Linked DNA regions of Arabidopsis thaliana. The protein of the gene in region 4 interacts with the protein of the main gene of each other region in a pairwise test. Each region holds a gene or a part of one and is shown on either strand. Other genes may lie near its edges.

Region 1 (6,190 bases), on a different chromosome or scaffold from region 4:
GGAAAATATACACTGGCAGAGCCGGTTAAACCGACGATTTGGTATATATCAGCGACCTTGTTGTTCTTTAGTTTCTTTGTATTTTGTTCATATACACAATATCGTGTACGCTTTGTAATCATTGGCAACAACTATCAACAACTAAATTATAAATATTTAGTAATCATTGACAGTAACTTGTGGTAGGTTATACTCATACCGATTTAGTTGTGGTTGACAATAACAAATTTCACTGATTCATCGCTAATTAAAATTTAAAATACTAAAAGAAATCAGCTTAGTTACTACAATTGTTTCATATATATATATATATATATATATATATATATATATATATATATATATATATATATATATATATAATAATTGAGCTAACAACTACAAAATCGAACAATCATTGTTATGGTCTTTGACAACTGCGAAACGAACAATAAATCTAATACAGTACTGATCCTTGTCGTTGTTATATTTGATACCTCTCATGATATCTTATTCAGTAGATATAACAAAAAATGTTACTCATATAGTCATATTATATAGTTACATTGTAATATATTAATATATCATACAGGCATGCATGTTCTTTTTTAACATAATATATATTTAAGATGTATACATATACAGAGTATGATTCATAAGAAGTAGGAAAAATAAAACCTACACCCCTCGTTCTTAACATAGAAGAAAAAAAAACGATAGCCAAAATCGTGTAAACCTGTAAAAAAAAAACCTATAATAGCTCTCTCTCTCTCTCAGTGATCTCCATATCATTCATATATAATGTACACCAAAAAAAAACTTAAGATACGCATAATGTATAATATGTGTGTGTAATATATAATAAGATAACATATAATAATGGTAGTAAAATTAGTTTGTAGAGAAAGTGGTGCAAGACTGAGGAAGCTGTGGCGAATCTCCGTTACTACTCCCTCCACTTTTTGCATCAACCTTGTTATCATTAATATCAGTATTATTATTGTTGTCGTTATTACCTCCTCCGATAATGTTTGAGATCGCGGCCGCAAGTGCCGCCGTGAAGTTCGGATCCATCGCAATCGCAGCCCTAACTGAATCGACCATTTCACGTGGTGGGGCTTGTGGGCCAAACAAATTAGGTATTAATAACTGCTGGTTATTATTATTCATAGACCTAATTTGATTAGCGTTTGGTAAAAACGCGGCGGGACCATACTGGCTTAGAAACTGCGGTGGCGGTTGTAGCGGTCGAGGTGGGTTGGTGAGGTCTAAGGTTATGGTGGGGAAAGGAGCTGAGGCAGAGAGTGTTGCGATTGTGGAGGTGTATGGGAAGTTATGGTAGAAGGATGATGATGACGTGGCGGAGGGGCTAGAGAGTGTTTGGTGGAGGTTGCTGGAGGAGGAGCCTGATAAGAGCATGGCTGCTGCGGCGGAGGTGGTTGCAGCCATGGCTGTGGCTGACGGGGGAAGAGGATGGTTATGGTTTCCTTCGTACGTTGTTGTCAAGATAGTTGTATCCTCCGCGCATCGTTGGACCTATTTACATTCAAATAAACATTTTAAATCATTTTGTTACGTAAAACAATAAAGTTTTCTTTAAGAATAAATATGTCGCATTCTAGTTTTGGTTTTTCATAAGTAAAAGATTTTGTTAGAAAGGGATTTAGTAAAGCCTTTCTAAATTTAGAATTATTTTCTATACTCTTCTTAAAACTTTCTAAATCTGTTGTATGAAGGACTTTAATAAGGTTTTATGGTATTGCTCTAAATCAATACTTCTAAAGGATACGTAATATAATCGGTTATATTAGTGTTGTTATTATGTCAATTTTTATATTCAAAGCTACATGTTGACGAAAAGAACCAATACTATATACGTTAATCAATACAAAATTCTAATACCAAATTTTTTTTTCTATAATTATGATAACATTTTCTCATATATATAGTTATACTAACCTGTTTACGGACAGGACATCCAACGGCCATGGTGCAACGATAATAAGCGCGAGGACATGGATTCCCTTTCGCCATTTTCTGACCGTATTTTCTCCATTGACATCCGTCATTTACCTATATTATATATTAATATTGATTCAATTTTCATAACTCATATATATATGTAAGGTTAAACGAATCAAAAAAATTAGTAACTTATAGAAAGTTACCGTAGTGGCATCAGATCTAGCTCTAACGGAAACCCTAGCTTTTCTATAGGGTAATTGATCATGAGGGTTTTGTTGTTCTTCATGATTAGTACTCTTGTTTTGGTCTATTCGAGGAGTTTTTGGTGATCCTCGGTGCATATCACGACCATCCACGTCGTCTGGAGACCGTCGTTTCAAGGTGGTGGCCGGAGTTTCATGGTTCATATCCTTTGGTCTTCTGTTCTCTAGAGCTTGTGAGGAACCAGCTTGAGGTACATCCTTTTTGCCAAACAAAAATTTGCAAGAAAGATGTGTCAGTTTTATAAGAAAATTGAAAGAAAAAGACGTTGAAATTTACCCAAAATCATACCGTAGTATCGGTAATTAATTTGATCAAGTAACCTCATAATATATATAGTACCGATAGACCCAAAGACAAGATAATAAATATAAACACACACATAATAATAGACATTTGATAACCTACCACATATGCATTCACATATGGACGTATTAAACTATTAAAATTCTAAGGCAAAGACTCATATATGATGCATCTACAGATTGTGGACAAACAAAATATGATGCATATACAGGAACATACCTAACTATAAACAAATAACTTATCGTTTGTAGCTTCTGAAAACAAAAGGTTTTTTCTAGTTTGAAATATCTTAGTCCGAAATTTGATTTTCCATTTAATATTAAGTTATGAAACATTTTTTTCTTGACCAAGTCATTGGCTAGCTATTTATTTCATCTTCTTCATATTTTATCAAATAAAAGCTGCACGTATTTATTCGTCTTATGACTTTCAATCTGGGCATTTAAGATGAAAATTATGAATTCATTACATAACTAAACTACATCCATTATTTACGCATATTACACATAGTTTTAAAATTTTAATTGCTTTCGAGAAAAACAAAACTAATAGATCACTTTAAATTTTCAAAACCAGATAAATCGAACACTAAAACCTAAGCTAATCTCGGTGCCACATAAAAAAGACAAATATACAATTTATTTTTTAATAAACCGAAATGTTGATATATATTTTATTATCATTTTTATGATTTTATCAAGTACCTCATGTTGTTTATGATGAAGACCTTCCACTTGTGTTTGTCTTGCTAACAAAACTCTTCTTTGGAGGTCGTTGTAACTCTCACTGACCTCATCTAATAAATGCTTCAGTTTGTGATTCTCCTCGTGAAGCCTCTCTAGCTCCAACTTCAGTCTACTAATCTGCAAATTGTTTAATAATCATAACCGTAACTATAAAAGTATAAATCAAACAATTTTTTTTTTCATTAAAAACAACCTACAGTTTTATATACGGAACTAAATTAAAGATTACAAAAAAGAAAAGAATTAAATATGTGTATATACATAAATGAATATGCGCATTTAGATAAACTCACATGATCGGGTAATCAAGTGTGTGTGTGTGTCCACACAACAAAAATTACCATCCGATTATTTTGTTGACAAATACAAATAGTTTTTTTTTTAAGTAACAAATACAAATAGTTTGTATATAAGTGAATTATTCTTAATACAAACACTGAAATTATGTTACCACAGGATACTCTGAAATTCTATCAAAGAGAAAAAATAACAATTTAGAAATACTTACTTGAGTTTTGGTTTTGTCATCGCCATCATTGCTTGATGTTCCATGACATGAATTTACCAAACCTAATCCATCCTATTATGCCATGAATTTTATGTAATTAAGTTATAACGTCCAAACATATATTTGTATTCATATCTATAATTTAAAAACTTACATTAAAACCAGATGATCCAACGATCGTCGTTGTTCTCACATGACCAAGATCAAACGGCTGACTTTTAGCAGCGAAGAAATCAACTTCTTTGATAGACGACTCGTGATGACGTTCCACCGGAGACTCGTTCGGTTGATGATCCTTTGAGTCAGAATCTCCGTGGAGAAATTCTCCTGAGTGTAAGAACGCAATTTCACGGCGATCTTGAATATGTTCTTCCATTTGCAGACAAAGAGAGATAGATAGAGATAGAGAGAAGAAAAAGAAAAAAAAGAGAGTCCCTTTATATAAAGACTAAATTTATGAGGATAAGTTGTGTAAAGTCTTAGCTAAAGGTTTCCATTTTCAACGAGAAATCACTCTTTTGTCAAATGTTACACATACAAATAAATGACCAAGCAACTGTTGGGAATATTATATTAGAAGGTTGGTAATTTCCGAAATTGCATAATGATTTAGTTTATACTAATTACGTAAATTATGCGAAAATGCCAATTTTATCTAATCAATTCTTATGACATACATAAAACGAAAATTTACAGCGTTGCATTTAAAATTTATATTTGATATTTATATTTTATGTGCTCAAACATTTGATATATATGTTGAAAATTATTTATGATAAGTATCAGTCTGACTCTTTCTTTTGCCTTTTAAAATAGGAAGATCTTGAGTGGTTCTTAAATGTCAGATTTGATCTCAATATTATAAGTATGTCTTTATTGTTATTTTGTTTTCTTTCTAATTTTGTTTAGAACTGGTATAAAATTTGGATACTTGCAGCCAGAATATAATTGAGAAAATGCCTTGAGATGGATAAATTCCTCGATATATAGCGTCATAAATGTACACGTGTTAAATAACCAGGGTAAGATAGAAAAAAGTGACGTGTAAATCGGCGATAAATGTCGAGCGGAATTAATTTAATTGTTAACAGTGACGGATTTCCGTTAAGTGGCCGTTAGTAAGAAAGTTGACGGAGAAAGACGACGTGAGTGAGACTCAGTAAAAGACGAGCAGCGTTGTCCTGAAGTCAACGGAGTTGACGGCACGGCATAACGGTGGCACTAAAGGACGGTGAAGAAACGTTAAAGAGAGTGGGACCCACACAAGGAAGAATGGGACCCACATAGGGAAGAAAAAGAACCTAATCTCTCCAACTTGGACCATTCATTGAAACCGGAGCTAACTACCAAAGTCTTAAACTCGTCATTTATTTTGCCTTTTTCTTAAAAATTTAAAATAGTTAATAATAATACTATAGTTTTTTTTTTCTAAACTAATAATCAGAATTTCTGAATCTGTCATCGTCAACAAGCTCAGTGTAGACCGTCGTGCAAGGTCATTTGAATATATTTATATAGATATCATGATTTTGGGTTAGTTATTTGAGATTCAGATTTGATATCTTTAATGATTCGTTTTATAATTATAAACATAAAATTTATATACTTGTTCAGTAGTCAGTACTATATATACAGAGTCTTAGATTTCACAATATTAGTTTACATATATATATTTATAATGTTATTACGTGATTTTTCCACATTAAAAATGTATATCTGATTATGATAACTTTTCAGGTTTTATTTGGAAATTAATATCATATAAATAATTAATTTCAAAAGAGAACTTGTTTGTTTGTTTTGTTAAATAGCATTTTGGATTTTGTTTTGTTTAAGATATAAACCTGAGAAGAATAAGGTCTTGAATGTTTTGTAGATTTTGTAAGAGTTTTTGGATTTTGTTTTTCAAAAACTTATTTTCATAACAATCAAGATTTTAAAATTTTGGTTTCCCTACAATTTGAAAAACTATTTTGTTGTAATTTTCCATTCATGATTTTAGTTTTTTAGTTTTTCTAAAATTTAGGGAATCTAGTTTTTACTCCATCAACGTTATTTTTCTCAAAAACTAAAAACTAATTTTTTGAAGTTTTTAAAACAAAAATATATTAACAAAAATCTAAAACTAAAATCTAAAATCTAGAAACTAAAATCAAAATCCAAAAACTGAATCGAAAATCAGCATCCATTCAGGGCCTAAATCTTTTGGTTGGAAATTGACATATAAATCTCTTTAGTTAGATCAACATTTTAGCTAAGGATATATTTTACCAGATTTGGACCATCCTAAAGGCTACTATATTTATTGGCGCTGAAATATTTGCTCCTTGATTGTTTATTCTGGAGAAAACTTTTTTCTTAGAGCATTAATACAACAAGACTCACTAAAAATACAATAACTTTTGGTAAAATTAAATCGAGGTCT
Region 2 (4,212 bases), on a different chromosome or scaffold from region 4:
GCAGTACCAACTGAACCAGGAGAGAAGTCGTATACACTCTACTTCATGTGTGATTCTTACTTTGGTTGTGACCAGGAGTAGTCTTACTGGTGATATCAAAGATTCTGACGCTGCAGATCACATGGAAGAATAATTTATGTTTTCTGCTTAGTTTTCGAGTCTTTCTTTGTTCTTCTGGTCATAATTTTCGCATTTAGCTACCGTAGTTGATCTTACCTTTTGTAGTACAACATTTGATTAGTAGATTCTGCATTGTAATAATGAAATAAGAACAAATCGAGTACTATTTTATTACTTAGAATTTTGTTGGAAGCAGATGCTTTTCTCGAGAGCTTACATAGACAATTTGGTCTGTTTCGGCTAAAAAATATTCAGACATGACATTGTTTCTTTCTTGTCCTTCTCCCTGCTTTTTAGTCCTATCTACTACACACTTTGTTGCGCCCTATATTGACTTCTTCTCCTTGTTCATACACTTACAGTTAGCTCTGTTGTCGTTTAAAATCTGTGTAAAACCAACAGAAGACTAAATCAATTCAACAGAAGACTAAACAGGCCCCTTTGTTTTTTTTCCACAATGATCAGGAACTTTACCTTATACTGTCTTTGTAAATCTTTGATGTAATCCACAGCTAAATCCAACATATCCGAAGTGTTGGTTTGCTGTTAAAACATAAAGAAAACAACATCATTTAACAATTTGTTTATGATCAAAAGTCATTACAAGGAAGTTCCTGAAAACTGTACCTTGTCCATGTTAGGAACAAGCTCTTGTAACTTCCTCATTCGCTCGCTTATCCGCGTTCTTCTTACCTGACACAATTGACAAGATTTCTTAGGAAAGGCTTTCTGAAAACAAACTAGATTCTGCTTCAAATGGACTTCCATTGATATATGTAAAGATGGCCTTAACTAGGTGAAGTTACCCGTTCAGCGATGCTTCGAGGATGTGTAGCGCAACCACGTTTGGCTCTGATTTTACAAGGAACAGAATCTTGTAGCTGAAGATACTTATCCACTGAAACCATGTCCGAGGCTGTCGATGATGACTTTGGTAGGCTCAAATGATGCGACAGTAACTGCATACGATTCCCGGACTCTCCGTTCTGTAGAAACCCATCAAAAACATCATTAGAAACCACTCCAAGAAATCAACTCCACTTTCAGCTACTGATCAATAACCAAAACAAACCGGTTAGATAACCGAGTTACCTGAGCTCCGAGAAACAATTTTCCATCGTCCTCGGCTTCTCTTTTAAGTGAGGATAAGTTATCAATAAAGCTGGATGGATCATTCCAATGGCTATATGGAAAATTAGTTTCGGGTGCGATTTCAGGTATTTGAGAAAGCATTCCAAGTGAAGAAGGTGGCCTTGAAGAGAGACTGCAATGGCGTCTTAATCCATTGGAATTAGATGGACTCTCTTCATCTTCTTCGTAATTCATCAAATTCCTCATTGAACCATAACCTGCAAATTTGTAAGTATATAGTAAACACTTATTAGATTTGTTGAGTCCAAAGTGCTTTAACTCTATGGTTGACAAAATCAAATCAGATCTTGTCTTAAAATTATTCTCAAGGAACGTAAAACATTCAAAAATCTTGAAGCAAGTGTTAAAACATTCAAAAAAGTTGAATCAAGAAGTACCAAAAACACTTCTGTTATAAATGAAAAAAATATTTCAGACTAAAAAAAGGGGGAAAAACTTTGTAGCAGAGAGCAAAACGGTACCGTTTTGGTCAGAGAGATTAGTAAACATTCCGGCTGGAGAGCTGCTTTGACGGAGAAGATTAGATTCAACTGGTTTGGTGTGATGATTATTGATACCGAGAAACTGATCCAAACCAACCGAGTTCATTATCCCTTTACTCTGCCTCGGGTAATGCGGCGGCAAACCCAGAAAACTCGACGGCTCAAGCTGCGGCGGTGGCGGCAGAGTGGCGGCGTATGAAACAGAGGTGTTCGTTAACGAAACCGGAGACTTATCCTCGAATTTAGGTGAACCCAGATCTCCGTTAACGCCATTAGAGGTCACGAATCTTGAAAGCAACCTATCGGAGTCGAAACCAATCTTGTCGTCGTCAACAAAAGCGGCGAGAACAGAGCTCGGAGCTGATCTAAAACGAAGAAGACCCGACCCGGTGGGATTCGGGTCGTAGAGATGATTATTTGAATCCATTAATCGAATCAATATGTAAAAAAAATGCAACGAAATTTCCTCTGTTTTCTCTTCTTGTAAGCTCTGTCTCGTGACGTTTCAGGAAGAACAAATTTGTAGAAAACCAAATCTTAATAGCTTTCCAACGTCAACCGTTGATATGAATATAAGCTTTTTCTTCTCCCTTGTTAAGTTCTTGTTTGTGTCACTTTTCCCGGGAAAACAAAACTTGAGCTTGAGATGTGAGCAGGTGTAGGATTTGGGAAATATAAAACCTTGAAGGGGAAGTAAAGGAGGTTTCGTCTGAAGATGAAGAAGAGAGAAAGAAGAACGGTGAAGTCTGATGAGAGGAAGAGAGAGATGAAGGTGATGATGAATATTTATCGTCTTTTTGCTTCTGAGTTTCTGCGTCCAACTTTAATTGCTGAAGATAGCGGCGGATCCAAAAGCTTTTTTACCAAAAATTTATTAAAATTGAAAAAGACGTCGTTTTAAGCCGCCTGTGAGGCTGAGTCACGGAAAATGCCTTTTCATATTTTTTTTCAAGAACAATTTTACTACTATTTCTTAAGAATATGAATTTTTCTATATAAAATGTAATTGAGAAAAGAGTAGATTTTAGATGAAAATACATACTTTATACTTGTATACAGGAAGAGCATGTGAAGTAAATTACCTACCTAATCAATTTTGACGAGTATACTGATGGACCCGTGACAAATTATTATTTCTCATCTTATAATCTACATGTATCCATAATATCATTTTATTACGATTCTTGTTTTTTTCTTTGTCTCTGTAAAATATGTGATGTTTCTACCCTAATTTATAACACACGAACAAAAATATCTGTATGTTGGGGACAATGAAATCGCTGGTAGGCCATACGATTACAATTTACAACAAGATGCACCAATCATAAATATTAGTTTCTTTTTTTTTATTGGGTCGGTAGTTTAACAACCAATGTAACAATTTAACACTAGATTCGAAATTTAACGACGTAAGGAAATAATTTTAATACGTTTTAGGGGACATGGATCTAATATGTCATGGTTACGTTACTTCAAATTTGTTTTGTTTAAGTACTCATTATTCAGGAACCAATAATGATGTTAGAGTACTTCATTCATAGTCAGCAATTGTACTGACAAAATCTAATATCCATTCGCATGGTACAACTTAGAATTTAAGAATTAAAGATTGTCCCATCAGAGTATAAAAGTCAGAAGTTAGATGTTAATATAGTTAGACACGAAAACGTACTTGAAATAGAAAGAAAGAAAATTGTCGGAAGTACAGTTTGTTTGTAATAAAAGAGAGATCAAAACTGTTTGAACTTTTTAACCAATATTTACGTACGTACGTAGCTTTCCAAATCCGATTTTAAGGTTCACGGAACCTATACAGTGTACAGCTTACGACACGATCGTGACGGAGGACGTTGACGCCGTTATCACCCATTGGGAACGTAAGTTGGCGACTACTATAATCTGTGTGACATACGGTACACCTGCATGAAAAAGTAAGATTTGAAACTAAACTCTAAAACCTTAGTGGTCGATGGATTATACAGTGACGTGACTCTATGTGAACGATATACACCAGATTACGTCTCCTCTAAATCTCTTTAAATCTTATCTTAGTTTAAACTTTAATAATTCACGAGCGCCGTCTTTTTAAAATCTAAATCCAATAAAGCGACTTGTTCTCTATGGAGTTTTTAGCTATTCAGCCCTTTAATGGAAATTGATTAATTTTTATATTTTCAAAAACCTATTCGTATCGTATCAGTCTGAATTTTTAGCTTTTAGTACAATGTAAGAATTGAAAAAAGAAACCGAACCATTGAGAAGATTGGGGTGGTGAATTTGCTTTGAATGTGAATTTATTCTCTATGGAGTTATTAGCTGTTTCATTCCCTTTTTTATATGGGGACTACGGTTTATGTGCCTGAGGCTCTATATATATTGCATATAGATTGATGACATTGACATAGGCTAAGCTACATAGTCTTAAAACTTCGAGCTGTTTAATAATTAATCAACAAGA
Region 3 (5,329 bases), on a different chromosome or scaffold from region 4:
GTAGAAAGGAGAAACGTAAGAGCAGAAGAAAACGAAAAGAAACTAAGTTGAGACAGAACATCGAGAAGGAGAATTGGGTCCAAAGTAATGGTTGTTGGTCCAAAGAAGAAGATTTAGTAAATTGTGAAGTGAGATCAACAAAAGAAGAAGAAGAGTGTGGAAGCTGCGATGATTCGAGCCCTGTCTCGGTTCTTGATTATGACCGGTATGCTGGTGTTCGAGTAACTCCATCACCAGGTTGGTAATTCTTCAGTATTGAAAATTGAAATGTCCTTTCTTGTGTTATTAAAGCATACTTGTTTCCTTGTAACAGGAAACATTTCAAGAAGACGGTTGTCTTCAGAACTTGAATCTAGTAAGCTCAATGAAACGATTGAACAAGATCACATCACATTGACAAGTAGATCAAAAGACCAAGAAATCCGACTTCATGGCTACCAAGAGATGTGGCTCATGATCTGCAAACTCACTGTATCTGACCTTGAAGGTTCAGATTGGTTTAACGGAAAAGCTTTAAAGCTCGAAGATATAGAAGGAATCATAAGCGAAGATATAGTCTCAAACATCTTAGATCAACTCTTAGAAGAAACAATTACAACACTTTCCCTAACTTCACAAGTGTAAATACATTTCTGTATTCCAATTATATTATTACTAAAAAACATATATATTCAGCGTGAGAGTGTTACCAAGAAAAAAAAAAATCGATTACTCATTGTGAATAGTAAAGAATCAAGGAAGTGAGGTGAGGTAATTCAAGGTTTCTTAGGTTTTGAAACCTTTTTTCACCTCTGTTTTTCTTTGGAGACAGAGAGAGAGACAAACGAACTCTCTTTTGTCCCCTAAGAATTTTTTCTTTTTATTCTAAAGAAAAATAACAAAGCATTAAACAAATAAAATGAAATAGATTAGCATCGACCTCTCGGAATCTTTCTGACTTTGCTTCTTGTGGAACGGTTAATGAAAGTTCAAAACTTTTGATTCAAGCCACGGTCTGTTCTGTCTCCATGTATGATTGCTCCATCCAAACCGGAGCTAGTCTTGTCTCCTGTGGCTCTTTCACCAGCGGCTCCACCCATGAGACATCTGGCTCTTCGAGCCCAGTCCCTTCGTTAGGCAGTCTTGATTCCATGCCACCGGCTCTGAGACGGAAAGAAGTGGATTTTCTGAGCTTCTGTAGCTCGTCTCCTTGGACGCTCCAGTCAAGCTTCCCATCCAATGAGCCCCAATCGTTTAAACAAGTTGTAGTCATGGAAGAGATTGCGGGATGGTGATTCAGTCCGTTGTTGCGTTCTATGAAGCTTTGGCTTCGCTGTTTAGCAAATTCAGCCGCTCTTGAAGCCAAGACTGCGGAGGAATCCATCGAAAACAGAGAATTGGCTCCCACAGGTGATGAAGAAAGACTGTTGGAATGCAGCTGCGGGTTAATGACGCTGCGTCGGATCTGCAAACCCGATGTATTATCCTCTGTCCCAAACATATCACTGAGACTATTCACCGGGCTCATTGCTCCTCCTGCAAGCCTGTTCATGCCCTTTCCGGAGAATGGAGATGACATTGGCGTGTTGTTCCATGTAGTTGGAGAAGTAAGACTTTGCATCTCTTCAGAGAAATCGATTTCTCTTGCATTCAATGCAGATTTCAATCTGCTCCCTGGAAGCTGCAATGCAGGAGGGGTTATGTTAGGCCAGTTCATCCACGTTTTTCCTCCACCTATTGGAGAGGATACACCGTTAGGACTCAAAGGAGGTGTGGTTGTTGCTCCGATAGGAAGCGGACTAATCGGTCCCATGTCGAAAGCGGTCGAGGAATTGCAAGATGAGAAGGAAGACCGCGGGGACGGAACACCTGATCCAGTTGAAGGGTACAAAGGACGCAGCTCCTCGGGTTTGTGGGCAAAGAAACAAACTCTTCTCGAGCAATTCGTCTCGTCCTTGCAGAGACGAGTCCGGTACTGAGCCGGGTGAAGCCAGCACTCAAAGATACCATGAGCATACTCGCAAGTATCACCTCTGGAACAAGACCCCTTCCGGAATTCAGGACAAGGGACACAACTATAATGGTACTTCCTCGGATCACGCCTCCTTGCGTTCTCACCCGGATGAACAAAGGGACATTCCGTCCAGTCGTGAGAGTATGCTCTAGAGCACGGCTTGATCTTGAAAGCATACATCCGGAACTCATCCGTCCCATATACACCGTTCTTGATATCAGGAAGCGTTGGATCAACCGGATACTCCTTCCTCTCAGACCCCCGAGGAGGCGAAACCTCAACCTCAACCTCAACCTCTGGCTCGCTTTCTTCTTGCCCATTAACTTCATTCAAATCATCATTTCCTTTCAACAAACGCTCCAAAACCTTCATCCTCGCGCTAAAAACCGGACTCAAACAAGGGAAAATCACATCTCCAGGCTTGTTACCATAAGCATCACAAGAATCCGGATTCGCAGAGCCCTTCAGCAGAAGAGTAACAATCTCAAGGCTATTGGCAGACAAGCCAGAGACCGCACAGTGAAGAGCCGTGGCACCATCAGAGCCACAAGAGCGGTTCACGTCAACAAGACCAGTACTAATGATGTAATCAACAACCTCTTTGCTTCCAAACAAGGCAGCAATCATAAGAGGCGTCCTCTCCTCAAAACCCATCTTCTTTGATCCTAATCTCCTCCCATACCACAAACCAGAGCCATCAATGCTCTCAAGACCTTCTTCTTCAACTAGAGACTTAAAACCGGACAAATCATTGCAGGCTGATGATTCTAGCAGAAGAGAGAATTTGAGGTGAGACAGCTCATCAACTCCCATGGCAAAAAAAAGCAACAATCTTTTCCCGCTCTATTGATTTCACTGCAAAAAAAATTGCAGAACAAATTGAAAAGGATGAATCTTTTTTCTTCTGATTAAAATGGTAATATACATAGAACAAAATCATACAAAACAGAAATAAAAACTGCAGAAACGATTAAGCTAAGGAGAGAAGGAAGAGTTTGTTAGTTTGGGATACAAAGTTTCCAACTTTAAAACAAACCAAACCAAAAATAAACACCAACAGATCCATAATTAACCACTTTTGCAACATCGAAAACTAATCATATTGTTAACTCATTTTCCAATCAGCAAAACAATTAAAAACAAACTGCAAACTCTAAAACAAATCGACATATATGGATTCAACTGAAACTAAATTAGTGACTAATCAAATCAAAGAAACAAAGAGTAAAGATTTTCTACCTCTGAGTCACAGAGACAAACTCTCTCTTTTCTCGACCACCACTACCAAAAAACCGCTCTTCACTTCCTTTAAACGAGTACTCAATTAGTCAATTTATTGAAAAAACAAATCCGAATTTTTTTTCTTCTTCCTCAAATTATGTTTTTTTTCTTCTTCTTCCTCTCCTTGTCACTTTCTTCTTAAGGTCAAAATAATAGAAGTTTTTAAAAAAATGAAGAAGCTTACTCTAAATAATAAAACAAAACCACCATCTCCATCATTCTTCTTCTACTTCTCTCTCGTCTTTTTTATTTCTATTTATTTATTTTACTTTCAATTTTAATTTGTAAAGTCTGAAGGAAATGAAGGTGTACGTTAGACTTCACACAGAGGATCTTCGCTCATCGGTTTTGTCACGCTTCACGCGTTTTTCCGGTTTTTGGTGGGATGACGTGGAAACCATGCATCGTCAGCATGTTTTTAAAATGAGCTACTTACTTTTCTTCTCCATTCACGAGCTAAAGATAAAACCACTGCCTGTTACCTAGAGTTATATAACCAATTAACCATAGCTTTTTAATTGGTTTGTCACCGCCCCAGAATAATCTCAACATGCACCAAAACACAGAATCGGAACCGTCTCGAGTGGGTTTCGCTTGATAGCAACTCTCTTTTGTCATAGCTTTGATTTGAGTTATATTCATCAAAATTAATTATCATAAAGTTTAAAGATAATTGAGATAATTATTATAAAGTCGAGAAATTGACGTTTATGTTCAGTTTTTTTCGGTCGACAATTCCAACAAAAAGACGATTAGGTAATACAAATATCCTAAGAGACTAAAATAATGTGTATTTAAATTCGGTAATGGAAAGAATTCGAACAAACCTTACCAAACTTTGTATTTTCTGTCGCTATGCTTGTATTATTATATTAAAAGATAGTGATTCGTGATCCATGACAATGTTGTACTACTATATAAAAGTAGTCATAAATTGCAAATGTATAATAATATTTTTTTGAAAACGACTACTGTTTTGTATTGCAACCAGACCAAATCCAAATGCATGCAACCGAACCCATCAATGCTTTTTGCAGCGGCATTAACGAAGCTGCTCCACTGGCTCTCTCTCACATCATAACACAAAGCCATTTATTTTCTCTTCTTCTAATTTACAGTTCTAATAAATAAGTAAAGTCATAATATTAATATGATAGTGCAAATACTGTATATATACACGACAAATTATTAATTTTTAGATAATTATATCCTGTTTCTTAACATAAACACTGTTGATTCCCAATGTCAAATCAATATTTAAAAATTTGTTATAAGTCAGTCACTCAAAAGACAATGGTATGAAAAATGCTGAAAACAGACGGTCAAGATCTTGTATTCACGATGAGATATATTGTTAGGTTAATTTTGATATAAAGCGAAATAAAAAGGGAAAAAAGGTAGAAAAGTCTAAGTGTACAATTAGGAAAAGGACCCACAAGAATCCATAATCTGACTAGAATGAATGGAATAAGAAGCATGTGGGACCAACTGAAAGCGACTAAGCATTGCTATTTGCTATTTTATCAGCCGACGTCGCTGCGACAAAACCCCAAATGGCAGAGCCTTATTGGACAGACCATATTGACTTTTATGGTCCTAAATGCAGTGAATTATCTCTCTTCGACTTGGCGCCAAGCACTTCTGGGCCAGAAATACCGATGCGGGGCTATACGAGGATAATGATCTGTTTCAAAGCCCATAATTAAAGACCTAGGTTTGGCCCATTAGTCTATCTTCTTGATTTAAAAGAAGGAAGCCAATTTCTTCTTCATGGACGTAAATAAAAAGAACTGGTAACTAATGAGATAGTATCTTACTATCTTCACAAGTAAAAGTCATATGGTGAATCCGAAGAAAGAATGTCGTATTCATGAGCTATATCTGAGAAGAGTGAAAAACAGAGTCAAAGTCAAAGAGTGATGAGCAAGCTTTAATAGTACGAAAGTAGAAGAAATAAAGAAATAAGAGGGTGAAATGGGTAAATTTTGGATTTTTAATTAGGAAATAGTGCAAATTGACCAAAATTAAAAATCTCCACTCTTTTCGCGTGTATCA
Region 4 (4,017 bases):
ATTAAAAATCTTCTCTACAACAACCTTTCAAAATCCGAAAAACCCATACATTTATCCACGTTATATATTATTTTAAAAACTCATATTCAAAACCAAAACTAATTTTTTTCCTTTTTTTTTAACCCAACCAAAACTATACAAAAGAACAATTCAATTTAAATTTTTCTTTTATATCTACAACATGGAAAGAATTACAAGAAAGAAGGGCATGTGTGGGTCCGCGTGACATGAGAGAGATACATAGGTAAGAAGCTTGAAGAGTTGGAAAAACGGTTTGAAGAGAAGAAACAAATGCAATGTGTGTGTGAGATTTGGTGAGCATGTTTCATGTTTGGCCTTTCTGTTGCACAATCTCTGCCTCAATTTTGGCAGTTCCTCTTCTCTTAATTACGCATCTTCGTCTCTTTCTCCAACTCCTAGAAACTCCACTCTTTTTAATTTCCCTTCTCTCTCTCTCTCTCTCGTTGTTATTCTCAACACGTCTTTAGCAATATTTCACGTCACTTCATCATAAAAGAATCAACTTTTTAAAACCAATCTCTCTTTGTTAAATATTTCTGAACGAGTACTACTAAAAACAATGACTTATCAAATGTTACACTAGACAACCAAGTGCCAACAACAACAATCTACAGTTTAGTAATTAACGTAAACGCAAGGACAAAGGCTAGGATCTGGTTTGTTTGTTTTCTAGCTACTAAAGCTAAATGCTATTTTTTTTGTAACCAAATTTAACCACTGTCGTTATCTGATTAACACCAATTTGTTCAACATTCACGCCGTCCCCAAGCCAAGAAAATCGAAAAAATGTGGTTGCTGCTTAGCCTTTTCGAACACCTCCTCATCTACCGCGTCCATTCCGATCCAATGCATTGCATCATTTGGCTCCGGTTTCTCTTGGTTACTAGGGTCAATGTGCGGAATATTGCATAACGCGTCTGACGTGGCACCAACGTTATCGCCGACCATCATTTGGTTGCCAAACATACTCACAACCATCGGAGGTTCATTGTTCTCATAACCTGAACGTTGTAGATATAACAAAAACCAAAAAAGAGTTCAAAATATGCAAAAGACAATTGAAAAAACTATTGAAAGAGGAGGAAGAGCTATAGGCTACCTTGAAAGCAATGGAAAGGCAACACAAGCTGGTTATGGTCACTCGTGATAGGGGCATTATTAACCAGGTGATGAGTCAAATTAAACTCGGGGAAAGGCTGAGCGAAGTAATGATTAGTGGAGATAAAAGAGTGGTAATTAGGGTTAGGGTTAGGATGATGATTATTGGTGAGGTGAGGTTTAAGTGGATTATTACTCATAAGCTTTCTCCTACGGTAAGCAGAAGAGTGTTCTCTATACTTACGAGCCATGACAACATGCCAATGGTTCTTCACTGAATTATCAGTTCTACCAGGGAAAAGCCTCGCAATCATTGCCCATTTGTTACCATAAAGCCTATGTGCTTGCATCAGCCTCTCCTCTTCTTCTTCTGTGAAAGCTCTTCGGTTTATCCTCGGGTCCAATTGGTTAAACCATCGTAGTCTACAGCTCTTCCCTTTAAAAACAATCAAGATTAAGTTAATAAAACTCAAAAAAAATTACGTTAGGACTTAGATTGGACATAGAAGGCTAAAGACCAAGAAAACTAATAAAAACAAAAATTGATTTTATCACCGGATCTTAAGAACTTGACAGATCCAGATGAATCAAACAAACTGGTTTTGATGAAATTTTGAAGATCTATAAGGTTTTGATTTAACTTGCTGTCAAAAGAAATAGAAAATAAATAAGGTTTTGATTTAACTTACCAGATCTTCCTTGAAGCTTTTCAGCTATGAGGTTCCAGTTTTGTGGGCCGTAAATGGAGACAAGCTCTTTGAGTTTAACATCTTCAGCTGGTCTCCAATGTCCTCTCCCCAAGACCGATGGTTTTGAAGACGACGAGGACCAAGACTGACCACTATCTGTTGTCTCCTTCTTACCACTCTCGCTGTTACTGAAATTAGGGTTATTATTATTACTCTCTTCTTCGTGAACCGCTACATCTCCAAGAGGACTCTTCAAGATTTCAAACTCATGACTTGTGTTGCAGTGACGATGATGATGCTGATGAATATTAATGTCGTTGAAAGGGAAGTCCCAAGAAGAAGAAGCTCTTCTTGCGACGATCTCATCCATCCACACTTGTTTTTCCGTTATAAACATGGAGTTAGTGTTGGGAGAAAGGAAGAAGAAGAGAAGTGTTATTGAGAATTAAGAGAGATGTCACGTCAGCTTATAGACATATACCATCGGAGGAGAAAGACTTATGTGAGTGCATTTGCATATTATATATACACGTACGTAAATGTGTGTCATAAATATTATTTTTTAAAAATAATAGAATATCTTTTGTATATAATGGTGTGTTTGTTACGTATGGCTTTAGGTATGTGCGTGTATGTACATGTCGCGACCGTGTTTTCTGACGACTGTTAAAAAGGGTTATGGACCGTCGTCACGGACTAATTCAAACGACAGAGTTCTTTGCATTTATACATTATTATATATATTACATATACACTACTGTAATAAGTAAGTACAAATGTGTATTATCGATATTCGATTTTGCTGTGGACTGTTATACATTTGTTCAGGTGTACCTAGTTTCATAGAAGTTAAAGAGTTTTTCTGATAAATCATTTATTAAATTTAAAAGTAACTAAGATTTGAAGACCAAGTTTTTTTCCATGTCCATAGATTGATAGTAATTGAAAAGTATGCAATAGTTTTATAGTCGTATTAGGGTTCATAATCAAACGATAACATTAATTACGCTGCTTCTCTATGGTTCCTTATACAAATTTCCTACTTTTATGAATAATTAATGTTTATCTTAGTTTGATGTATAAGATAGTATTTCCTCTTTTATTTAATGAAAACCAATGGATTATGACAAAATAAATTAATGTTGGGAGTGTCGACCTAAAAAACAATGAATGTAGAGAATATCTTGGACGAGTCCGAAATGAATCTTACCGTTATTAGGTGAAATTTATCCTCTATTAATCAATGCATGTTTTATAGGTGCAAGGTGAAAATAATAAAAGCTAATGAGATGAAAGAAAAAAAGCTGAAGCAGAACTAACTACCAAAAAAGGATGAAGGCAAAAAGAGAGTTTACCATTGGGGAATGAGTCGGGTCTCTTCTTAGCACAACCAATTCTCAGACAGCTTTTTCTTTCATTTCATTTTGGGTTCCTTAAAATTTACCTCTTTCTCTCTTAATCTCCACTTGTCTTTCATTCCTTTACTTTTTACTACCATTTTTGTTTCTGTGAAACCCTCTCTTATCTTAAAAAATTAACCACAATCTTTTTTCTTCATTCAATTTTTTTCTTAATTAAACATCGCTTCAATATACTCATTTTCTCCTTGTCATGTTGTATCAAATAATCTTGAAATTTTGACTGTTTTATTCTTTGTAGCAGTCTCATGGTTTTTAATAACGAGATATTACAATGCCAATTCAAAAAAACTCTCAACCCTAAATATCCCACATACATGAGGAATGTGGCCGTGTGGAAGTGTGTATAAGTAATGAGAATGAACAGTAAAAATGTAAAGAAATAACTTTTAAGACCTTTTCGTATTTGACCAGAAATCCCAATTGGCAGACGTAACCATTAAATATGGGATAAATACAGATACAAAAGGGGTCTCAGAACTGTACGATCCTCTGCACAGAGATTTAACCGAACGCACTACAAACTCTCTTTCTCTTCGTCATATTTTCTTTTTAATTGGTCAATCACTTTGAAATACACATTAATATTATATATGAAATATGAAATAAAAGGTTGGGTGAAGAAGTATATATGAACTATATAATTTTATGAAACAGAAAGTTATGCAGCTTTATTTAATTTTATATTTTGCAGAACAAACATTTATAAAAATTGTAATCAGTTTTTTTTTACCGTTTAAAATGAAATGATGAAATAAAATATGGTGAAACACACTATTAATTATGTTTGT

Evidence for each region.
Region 1: the proteins of MYB117 (region 4) and WRKY47 interact in a two-hybrid assay, tested with the Arabidopsis thaliana proteins (one large-scale study listed by BioGRID).
Region 2: the proteins of MYB117 (region 4) and FBH4 interact in a two-hybrid assay, tested with the Arabidopsis thaliana proteins (one large-scale study listed by BioGRID).
Region 3: the proteins of MYB117 (region 4) and AT5G58620 interact in a two-hybrid assay, tested with the Arabidopsis thaliana proteins (one large-scale study listed by BioGRID).

The regions. Positions count from the first base shown.
Region 1 is NC_003075.7:742,900-749,089, reverse strand, and holds WRKY47 (WRKY family transcription factor), read right to left. Parts: upstream 4,287-6,190; 5' UTR 4,142-4,286; coding exon 3,920-4,141; intron 3,838-3,919; coding exon 3,766-3,837; intron 3,375-3,765; coding exon 3,216-3,374; intron 2,406-3,215; coding exon 2,148-2,405; intron 2,053-2,147; coding exon 1,939-2,052; intron 1,516-1,938; coding exon 871-1,515; 3' UTR 536-870; downstream 1-535. UniProt on the Arabidopsis thaliana protein: Transcription factor. Interacts specifically with the W box (5'-(T)TGAC[CT]-3'), a frequently occurring elicitor-responsive cis-acting element.
Region 2 is NC_003071.7:17,610,983-17,615,194, forward strand, and holds FBH4 (basic helix-loop-helix (bHLH) DNA-binding superfamily protein), read right to left. Parts: upstream 2,610-4,212; 5' UTR 2,182-2,609; coding exon 1,734-2,181; intron 1,470-1,733; coding exon 1,213-1,469; intron 1,107-1,212; coding exon 927-1,106; coding exon of another isoform or gene 909-926; exon of another isoform or gene 814-908; coding exon 748-813; intron 664-747; coding exon 532-663; downstream 1-531.
Region 3 is NC_003076.8:23,691,436-23,696,764, reverse strand, and holds AT5G58620 (zinc finger (CCCH-type) family protein), read right to left. Parts: upstream 3,507-5,329; 5' UTR 3,233-3,506; intron 2,849-3,232; 5' UTR 2,807-2,848; coding exon 983-2,806; 3' UTR 625-982; downstream 1-624. Other genes in the region: TRM31 (uncharacterized protein), read left to right, coding at 1-237, 314-624.
Region 4 is NC_003070.9:9,269,221-9,273,237, reverse strand, and holds MYB117 (myb domain protein 117), read right to left. Parts: upstream 2,287-4,017; 5' UTR 2,206-2,286; coding exon 1,809-2,205; intron 1,556-1,808; coding exon 1,121-1,555; coding exon of another isoform or gene 1,110-1,120; intron 1,023-1,109; coding exon 775-1,022; 3' UTR 525-774; downstream 1-524. UniProt on the Arabidopsis thaliana protein: Probable transcription factor that involved in boundary specification, meristem initiation and maintenance, and organ patterning.